Tribolium castaneum: one gene and its partners. The protein of the gene in region 3 interacts with the protein of the main gene of each other region in a pairwise test. Links are inferred from orthologs where the notes say so. Each region holds a gene or a part of one and is shown on either strand. Other genes may lie near its edges. The genes, in order: BAG family molecular chaperone regulator 2, Mlf and dnaJ protein homolog 1.

Region 1 (3,036 bases), on a different chromosome or scaffold from region 3:
ATTCGTTACAAAGTATACTTGAGTTGGACCAAGACTGTAGTGTAGTTTTGCAAGGGAGGATTGGGCAAGGGTTTTACGGGGAAGTGTATAAAGGAACTTTGGAATATCCCGGAAATCCTGAAATTGAACCGAGAATCGTGGCAATCAAAAAACTGAAATCGTCAACTGTGTCTGCGTGTTTGCAAGACTTCGAACGGGAAATTAACATTATGAAGACTTTGCAGCACCGGAATATTGTTGAAATTTTGGGGGTTTCCCGGGAACCGGATATTTCCCTAGTCATGGAGTTCGTCCATCATGGCTCTTTGCAGAGTTATTTGAAAATCAATCGAGAGTCGTTGCAAATTAAACAGTTGTTGAAATTCGCGCTTGACATTGCTGAGGTTTGTGGCCTTATTATTTAACCAACTTATCAAATAACATTTTTTATTGACTAGGGAATGAATTATTTGGGCAAGAAAAACATCGTCCATCGGGACTTAGCCACCCGGAATATTTTGGTAGCTGACGAAAACCACGTCAAAATCTCCGACTTTGGCTTAGCGCAAGTCATTGGCACTAATGACTATTACATCTTGAAAACAAACCGGGAATTGCCGATTAAATGGTAATTAGCGAAAAATCACGACTTGAATTACTTTGGTCTTGTTAGGTACGCGCCTGAAAGTTTACGAGACGGCAAGTTTTCCGTGCGTTCCGACGTTTGGTCGTACGGTGTCACAATGTGCGAAATGTTCAACTGGGGCGAAGAGCCGAAATTGTCGAATCTGGGAGAGGAGGAAGTCAGAGGTCAAGAGCAGCAAGTTCTCTTGAACGCCTTGGAGAGCGGGGCCAGGTATTGGTCCGTTGCTGACTTCGTTGGTTTTATCGTTGCCTTTTATAGATTTCCGTGTCCTCCAATGTGCCCACAAGCTGTCTATATACGGATTATATATCCGTGTTGGCACGCGGACCCCCACGAGCGGCCCGCGTTTAGCGTCCTCGTCCAGGAAACGCAAGACCTGCTAACGCAGTATTGAGTGATATTCAGTGCCCATGCAAGGGTGAGCACAGGAAAGAGCACCACTTTGTATAATCTTTTGTATTAAGTTATTCACAAACGCCTATTTAAGATCAAGTGTTAGATTTTAGTTTAAATAAGTACCTGTCGTTTTTATTATTTGCTCAATTTATTTGGAACAAGCACTTCTCGTGCCATTTCTCAGTGCAATCAACTTGTAAATATGTATATTCTATATTTTAAAATAAATGTTAATTTAAGGTTTTTTGCATCATTTCGCTGGACCATTTGTCTCTTTGAACAAATGGCCATTCGGTTTAAAAAAATGCGTTAAAAGCCGCGAATTAATAGCGATAAACATTGAATAATGGTAATGAAAGTACAATTAAGCAGATTTATGGTGTTTTGGGGCGTTTTTTATTGTATTGATTGCGTTTTTCGAGGCGGTTTCGAACTAGTGGGACTAAGGAGTAATGGAACTTTCTAGATTTTGAATCAAATGACCAATGAGTTGTTCCTGTGCTGAATCAAATTGATTTAAAATTATTAGATAAACTGGCGTCAACCAGCAACGATAGCTGCAACAGAATGGACATAGATCCATCTCCGAGTACTTCATCCGGTAATAAATCCTTCTTATCAATATGTTTTTAGGTTATGTCAAAATTTTTGTGTTTGACTAACAGCCCGAGTTTCAGGCTTCTTAATGGATCTGACGTACTCAGGATTGCCAAGGATCGATGAAAACAACACCGTGGATCCCAAATCGCCCAAAGAGCGGGTTTTAGAACTGTTAGATATCTTAGAAAGTCATGTTGAGAAGTTGCGGAGGGAAGCGGCGCAGTTGGAGGAGGACCGGGACCACTTGTTGTCATCCCTGGACTCGGTTAGAAACACTGATTTAATAGTCGACTTACCGGATAGTAAGTATACCAAAAGTAAAAGTCGTTCGTAATTAATTATTTGTAAGATGATAGGGATGATGTTTGCCAGTACGCTGAGCGCATCATGAGCCGCTGCCTCACGGTGGAAGTGAAGATTTTAACTCAGCGTGATAAGATGCAAGAAGAAGCCTTGCACCAAGTGAATCATTTGATAGACAGTCTTGTAATGTGTGTGAAATCGGATCCTGAAAGTGCAAAAGCTAGATGTATAACCTTCATGAATGCTTGTTCTTCGAATGTGGTGCACGGGATCACGGATAAAAAGTTCGAATCGGCTTTGTTAGGATGTACCGTTGACGACCAAAAACGGGTAAAGAAACGGCTTCAAGGTTTGTTAAATTACTTTGATAAACTTAATGTAACTTCGATTCCATAAACTTACTTAATAGTGCGTTGTTATTGATTGTGGCCCGCTTATTGCCATTATATACACATTAAATCGTTAGTATTTAACCAATTGAGTTGTCTTCATTACGGCTTTAATACAACACAGTCGTGTTAACTTAAAATAGCCACTGTGATTGTTTAAAAGACACTTTATTTATAATTGATGAATTAAATAAAATTATTAATTCATGTATTACTTATTTCCGTGAAATAAAATACTTAGGGTCTCTTAGATGAGTCACTGTAAGCGCTTGTTTCAAATCTTCGCTTGTTGTTGGTGAATCTGCTATAAAAGTGACTGTTGTAACAAGAGAGTGTTGAATAAAACCGTTTTCAAGAAAGTGGCCTTTAATATCGTGCGGGTCCAACCAAACGAAAAGACTAGGGGCGTCGGCTTTCACCCACACGTGGAAGCGCAAGCCTTTCGCGTCAATCATATCAACTGAAATAATCTAAAACAAAGCTAAAGCTCTTATCGGTTAATCCCCCGGAAAAATTACCTCAACATTGGAGTTTTTAAGTTTAGCTTCCTTAAATTTTGAAGGGAAAAAGTAATTAGACGGGGTCAAAACTGTGCCGTCTTTCCCACCAACAATATGCACAAAGCAGTTGTATTTTGCTACATCTGCAGCGCCACACCCGGAATCGGACAAAAATTGGTCCACATCGTATGATGCAACTAGTCTTGCCACCAAAGGCTCCTTC
Region 2 (4,218 bases), on a different chromosome or scaffold from region 3:
CTCAAATAACAATGAAAATTCGTTTCAAATTCAAAAAACATAAAGTAAATGGTAAAATTTGTTCGATGGTGAAATTTATTCCCTTTTTTTTCAGCTATAACCTGAAATTAGGACTTAAGTTAAGATTTTATTTCACTTATACAATTTAGCTTCACAAGAATTGTTCTGTAGCTTAAAAACTGCCATTATAATTCGGCTAGTTATCTTTTAAATATACATCTCAAATAAAAAATTCAAAAATTCAATTAATCTGTTTGAAGGAATTTGAAACTAGATCATTTATATTCTCCTTTTTTATTAAATTAAAATTATTAAAAAGTATGGTTTCTTTAACAAGTATCAGCTTAATGGTATAAAGTATTCCATTTCTGCGAACTAAATTCAAGAAAACATGATCTAAAATGATAAAAAATTAGCTCAAAAATCTAACTTTTAAAAAATATATCTCATGAAAAGGAACTTTTAGCTCTGATAGATCTCTTTTATTACTATCCAAGAGATGGCCTGATACTTTCGAACCACCTTGTACAAATCTTTTGTTTTACTTATAACTTACTTTGGTATATCGACAAGAAATAAGGTAAGTTATAATTTTATGTAAAATATACAAATAATAAAATAATATATACAATATACATACAAAAACTTTCTGTAATACATTTGATACTTTCTGAAATTAATCTAATACATTTACTTCATAGTTTTTTCTTCCCTTTCTTATTTTCAGTTCGAGTTTCGTACTAGCATTATTTTTGACCATTTTCCGTTTGTTTTTTTTTAGTTTTTTAAATTAGTGTAATAAATCTTTTATACGATACTGTACTCAGATTTTCAGGAAAGAAATCTAAGTATCCAAAAAATAATTTCTTAGACATGTTAAATAACATATCCCAGCTTCTAGCATAATTTCCTGGTAATTCTTATTTTTTTTATTTCTATCAGCTCAGGTCAAAACACAACAAATATTGTATTTTGAGAAATGTGTAGACCTTCATATTCGCAATATTTTTATGTGACGGAGGATTTAGTTGCACATCAGTGTGATCATATCAAGTAGTTTTTTAAAAGGGAATTTCAAAAACTCAAGAATGTTTCTAATTTGCTCAATTTTAGCGAAATATTTTGCTGTTATGAACTATGTAACTACGTAAAACAAAGAATCAATCGGAAAGGAAAAATCCGAAAAATCAGAGTAATTTCGATGTCACTAACGTTAGTATATTTTGCCTACTTTTAATTGCCTATAGTACTTGAAAGTACACCCTTAATTTCTTGTACTTGATTCAGTAAACCAAGCACTGAAATACTAAGATAATAAATAATATAAATAATAATAATAATATAAATAAATAATAATGAATTAATAAGAAAAAAATTGGTAACCAGAATATTTTTAGTTTAACCATCAACTGAAATACCGGGCCTATGTTTGGTAAACAGAGGTGTTATTTTCCAATTTTTAACACAAACTCACAAAGCTTAAAAATCTGCACGTACAGATCAATTTAATAATTTTTTTTTTTGAAAAATAAAAAATGATAATTAGTGACTCGAGACTTTAATTTCGATTTCACCATACTCATGCCATCTAGTGGTGAAACAAAATATTAAACATTTCTGTATCAACCATTTAGTTCGAATTATGAAAACTGTGGACGTAAGTCGCCCCCTTAAAGAATTTGTTCAATCTTGTCATTTAAATAAAATTGTCAAATCATAGGCAACAAAAATTCAATATTGGTTTTCGCTAAAATCAAAGTCTTGTAATTTTTTTGGATCAAATCAATAAGCCGCTATTGTCGAAATTCACCGAAAATTTTGCTGACCTACCTAGCCGACGCCTGTGGCACAGTTAACGGCGACGATCTTATACTTCTACGAGGCGAGACCATTGGGGTTGACTGTCTTTGCCGACGTCTACTACATGCGTACATTTAACACAACATTGAAACGAGGAAAAGTGCATCAAAGCGAGTGAACCAGCACCTTGTGCTACTAAATAACCAACAAAAAAATTTACCTAGGCCCTCCAGTGATCGCCAGCATGCCTCCTGGAGCCCCATACCCATGTCGGTTTCGCACAGACCCCGAACAAATCCTGGGAATCTCCGAACGACTCCTAGTCTTAGTCTCCCACTCTTTATTAAAATCCTCGGCCTCTTCCTCGTCCAAATTGATAAAATCCTGCCTTTCCTCACGGTCCCCAGTGTGCATATTCTGCTCCTTTTCTATGATGTGGGCCCGTTCGCCGATGTGGTGCCCGATGGCCATTTTCTTGGTCCCTGACCGTGTGTCAGTGACTGTCTTTTGGGTCTCTTTAATACCCCCAGGAGCTGTGCGCGTGCTCGACGTGGCTTTGTACACCTGGGGGCGGCCGTCGGGCCCCGAAGACATGCTAACCACGGTGCTGGAACTGTAACTGTGCGCCCCCAGGGAGTCCAACGAGCCGCTCAACAGCCGGTTGAAATTTGGCATAATTGGCATTGAAAAAGGCATAAGAGAGTTGCTCATGCGGTGACCGCGATCGAAATCACCGAAACCCATCGAAAAAGGGTCCGAGAAGAAGGAATTCATCATTGTGTTCATTTGGCGCATCATATTCATGTGAGATCTGGGAATTAAAATGAAAATTTTCGTTCAGATTTCTAGAACAGCATGGCGGATTGTTTATGGGGTTTTGGCGGCGATTTGCACGGCGCGACTGACGGAAACTCACCCGAAAAACGGATCCTCCTCAATATCGCCCATTAATGAGCCGAAGAGAGACATTTTCTGAAAGGTTTTAACACTTTTCTCAACAATAATTCACAAAACACTTTGCTAATGAACGACACTAGTGACACTTGGCGCGGGGAATGAAACGGCCGCCAGGCGGCGCTGCGGCGTTCGGAAAATCAAAGCCAGTAGATATACTAAAGTAGCGACACGGACCTTGACAGGGCAACAATAACGATTATACACTCTACAGATGGCTCCACTATCAAAATTCAAAAACGTACGTCAAAAATGTCAAGATTTTTTCACGTTTGAAAAATTGGTGAATCAGAACAATAAATTCGGTGATCGTCTATAATTTCACCCTGGTTATTACAGTTTATGTGTACAGATACCATGAAACCTTCAAACTTGTGCTTCACTCACGTAAAAATAAATCAGATCGTCCCTAAATTCAACTGAACATTGCAATGAGAAAGGCTTTTAGAATGCGCAGAATACAGCAACTCTTATGGACATTTCGAAGAAGGTGCTGGCGCTTCAACAGTGAATTCATTCCTTAAAAGAATTTGAACTTTGTATTTAACGAAAAAGCCAAAAACACGTTTCAAAATAATAATTGTTTGATTTAAAAAAATTGTGATACTTACATTTCTAATTTTAATAAACTCCTCTCTAAGTGTTTTTACAGTTTATCGTATTTAATTACTCCAAGATTTTAAATTGGTCGATTTATTTTTTTTTAATTAAATTTAATTTTTTCCCTCAACACTATTAACAACTGCTATGAAACCAAGACATTTTTCGCAATAATAAAAGTAAGTGTTTTCAATATTACCCGAGAGGTAAACCGCAGAGGAAATCAGTGTACAAAATTGAGTAAATCAAGAAATTTTAAGGAAATCACTTTAAAAATTTAGGGAAAAATCAGAAGGAATCATGATTAAATCACAGGTGTACAAAATTTGGGGTACGGTTTACACCTCGATATTACTTAAGAAATAGAAATAATACAACCTGAATTTCTCTTTATTATTTAAATTTTGTATAACATAGTTGCTGTAAATAAGTGGCTATAAAAAGTCCACCAAACTTCGATGCGCTACAATTCCCAGATTTAGATGCATTAAATTTTCTGAAACGAAGGTCAGTGTAAGCAGAGCGGTCTTAAATTCTTTCCCATTAGGGCGGAATCTAATAATTTAGAATGAATTTTCAAGGACGTATTGTTTAAATCTACCTGAAATACTTAATGAAAATTTGGTATCTTAGAAATTTCTCTTTGAAGTTGATACCTACCACTTTACATTTCTTAATCAAATTTTGTTTGAATGAGTTTCTAGTATTATTACACAGACGTGCTTCGTAATGTGGACGACTTTGAACAGTCTGGAGGCTCCTTTGTTTAATGTTTTTGGTGTCGATTTATTATTTACGTGATTGAAGCACAGGTTTGAAAGTTCCATGGAATCTGTTCATAACCAATAACCACAGTAAAACTAC
Region 3 (3,199 bases):
TTTTATCTTTTTTACAAAAATCGGCAATTTTTTAGGTTACATTCAAATACATTTTTAAACGACAACAAATCAACCAAAGTCAACGTTATGATGACAGTAGTTGTTCTCTGTTAACTATGCGTTAATTCTAAAAACCAAAATTCTAAAAATCCAAGTTTACTTTGAATTGTATAATGAGTTGCGTGTTTTCAATATTTAAGGCGGGAACAGATAAAATGGGCGCCCTGTAATAATAATTGCAAACCGATCATTAATTTGCATAATCATATTACTATTTTAAGTAAATCAATATAAAACGTTCTGGTGGTGTTCTGATGGAAAAGTTACAAGAAAATGGGTATAAAAACGTAAACAATTAAATTGAGTAGTCGCAAAAAGCAATCAATTGCAATGTAAAAATTAAAAACATTATGAATATTGTGGGATTTGTTATACACTTCGACCATATATCGATATATGTACGTCACCAATACGTCATAACCTGAGTATGCCTGTGTATGTCTGCGTATGGGACACTTACCTATAGTCAAAGGGTTCTGTTCTGGTTGTGCTACTAGTGACAGACGGATCAAGGGGATTCAAATGAAAGAAATTAAATTAGAAAAAATAATAAAAGAGTTTATTACTAATTCATAACAGATAAAATATCACACACGACGCTACTTTATAATACAATAAACATCATACAAGTCGATTAAATTAACAAAGCTTAAATTTAACTAATTTGTACTAAAACGTACAGCCTGACTTATTCAATTACATAAACAAACTGTTTAGTTAGGCAATGTATCGTACAAAATGTCCTTAGCAGATTGTGAAAGCCTCTCTGGAAACTTGATGTCAACATTGACAATGAGATCTCCTCTTCTGGAAGGTTCCTTGGGTAGGGGCAAGCCGTAACCTTGCAACCTCCTCACTGTTGTGGGTTTAACAACCTCGTTGGTGAAATGGATAGGGATTTTCTGGCCGGTTAGGGTTGGCACTTCAATCGAACACCCGCACAAAGCCTGCTTGAGCGTAATCTTAGCCACATATTTAATATCACTTCCCTCACGTTTGAACAAAGGATGCGACTTATCCCTGATGATAAACACAATATCCGCCGGGATTTTATTTGGCCCTTGGTCCCCTTCCCTGGGGAAGGTGATCTTAGTTCCCGCTTTCCACCCCGGCTTCACATTAATAGTCAAAACCTTGTCTTCGCTCCTCGTAGAGCCGTCCGCTTGCAACACCTTCCTGCTAATCTTCATCTTCTTCGTGCAGCCTTTGGCGATGTCCTCCAGCGAGACGTAGAGGTCGTGCTCGATAGCGGGGTCCTGCTTGTCTTTCCCGCGCTGGGGGCTGCCCTGGAAGTTGAAGGACTGGCTGCGGAAGGCGCCCCCAGGAGCCCTCCCACCCGTGATGTTAATAAACGGATCGGAGTCCATGTCGTCGTCTTGGTACGCAAACATGGTCTGATTGCCTCTGAAGAAGGCTTCGAAGGGGCTCGCATTGCCGAAGAACTGGGCGAAGGTGGCGCGCGGGTCTCCGTGGTAGGTGTAGGTGAAGCCCCCGGGGGCTGAGGTGCCAGAGTCGCCGGGGATGCCCCCCTTGAGGCCCTCCTCGCCGTAGGCGTCGTAGATGTCGCGTTTTTTCTTGTCGGAAAGAACTTCGTAAGCCTCGGCCACTTCCTTGAAGCGCTCTTCAGCCTCTTTGGACTTGTTCTTGTCCGGGTGGTATTTGAGGGCGAGTTTGCGGTAGGCTTTCTTGATCTCGTCGTCACTGGCTCCTTTTGATATGCCGAGGATTCGGTAATAGTCTTTTCCCATTTTCACTGCACTAATGTCACGAAAAGTCCACACAAACTTAAAATCACAAGCTTCTTCGAGAATAAATTAGTGTACACGTAGTGATTGTTCGTTTCGTATTGAGTGCGCGAGCGCTCGCGTCGATGCTTTATATAGGTTAGGAATTTCTAGAAGATTCTGGAATTGTCGCACCCCGCTGGAGGACGCGGCTGGAAATTTCTGGACTCAGCACGTGTCAGAAGGGATAAATTCAAAATTATCATGTTGAAAATTAAAAAAAGAAAAATATATTTTAATGATCAAAATTAATAAAGGAAGTTCTTTGTTACACGTCACATTAACATTCAAAATTTATAAAAAGGTGGTCGGATCCTTAAATAAAATACTGATGATTTCTATTTATAAGAAGTGTCTCAGTCTCACACAAAAATGAATTCTTATTTCTGCAGTTTTATTTGTGTTAAATGACTAATAACTATAGTGAGCAAGCCTTGTTAGTTTCTTTCCCAATTTACCAAAAATTATTTTACGGTATTTTTTCGCAAATTAAAAGAATTGTATTAGTAAATAATGACAAAAGTGTTCATTTCATTAGCTCCTTTTGTTTGAAATCATTAAATTACACTGTTAAAAGAATAATACGCTGCGTTAACCATCATTTTCCTGTTTAAAAATTAATAAAAGTTTATAATGAACGGTAAGTTCCAGAACCAAGTCTTCCAGTAATAAAAATTAGCACGTGCAAAAATGCGTCATCACACTCAACACCATCAGAATGTGAAAGCTTGTTTTGTTTTGCTTGTTTTTATACCATCGCCCCCCAAAGTTAGTGAGTGTATTACTGGTTGCATGATTACATAAAATCTATTTTCAGGAAAGAGTAATAAATAATAGATCTTGATAGTAAGATTCACCAAGTTCATCGCCTAAGCTTCCCAGGTTTTGTTAGGATACTTTCAACACTAACTAATAAAATATTTTTTTGGGCTTAATTTACAATCACCTGTTGATATTTTAAAGCAAATAAAATATTTAACAATTTGCTAATCACGTCAATAACGAATGCCAGAGACTCCCCAAAAAATTTATTCAAAACTTTTGAAAAATTAAAATTGACACAGATTGTTTCGTTTTTTGTACAGATTAGTGTCAGTTTTTTAACCCAAAAACCTTGTTTTTTACTTTTTAACTTTTTACTTTAAAATCTTGATGAAAACATTACAATTTCATCGTTTAAGTTTTCCAGGTTGGGAACAAAGGTTGTTCGGGCTTAATCTACATTCACTTGACAGAAACAACGAATGCCAAACTAGACACCAATAACAAATTTTTTAAACTTTTAGTGAATATATTAAGAAACTAGACGTGATAGACAAATGTGGCATATATTTTGTTATCAGCTTATGAACTTA

What was found.
Region 1: the proteins of dnaJ protein homolog 1 (region 3) and BAG family molecular chaperone regulator 2 interact in a two-hybrid assay, tested with the Drosophila melanogaster proteins (2 studies listed by BioGRID). The link is inferred for Tribolium castaneum from reciprocal best matches to the Drosophila melanogaster genes DnaJ-1 and CG7945.
Region 2: the proteins of dnaJ protein homolog 1 (region 3) and Mlf interact in a two-hybrid assay, tested with the Drosophila melanogaster proteins (2 studies listed by BioGRID). The link is inferred for Tribolium castaneum from reciprocal best matches to the Drosophila melanogaster genes DnaJ-1 and Mlf.

What each region holds. Positions count from the first base shown.
Region 1 is NC_087396.1:11,144,962-11,147,997, reverse strand, and holds BAG family molecular chaperone regulator 2, read left to right. Parts: upstream 1-1,406; 5' UTR 1,407-1,588; coding exon 1,589-1,622; intron 1,623-1,698; coding exon 1,699-1,923; intron 1,924-1,970; coding exon 1,971-2,320; 3' UTR 2,321-2,524; downstream 2,525-3,036. Other genes in the region: hop (tyrosine-protein kinase hopscotch), read left to right, coding at 1-383, 438-607, 653-835, 884-1,019; beta-mannosidase, read right to left, coding at 2,529-2,783, 2,832-3,032.
Region 2 is NC_087399.1:9,872,868-9,877,085, forward strand, and holds the start of Mlf (myeloid leukemia factor), read right to left. Parts: upstream 2,883-4,218; 5' UTR 2,770-2,882; coding exon 2,717-2,769; intron 2,612-2,716; coding exon 2,021-2,611; intron 1,921-2,020; coding exon of another isoform or gene 1,918-1,920; coding exon 1,831-1,917; intron 1-1,830.
Region 3 is NC_087398.1:15,603,616-15,606,814, reverse strand, and holds dnaJ protein homolog 1, read right to left. Parts: upstream 1,952-3,199; 5' UTR 1,809-1,951; coding exon 774-1,808; 3' UTR 598-773; downstream 1-597.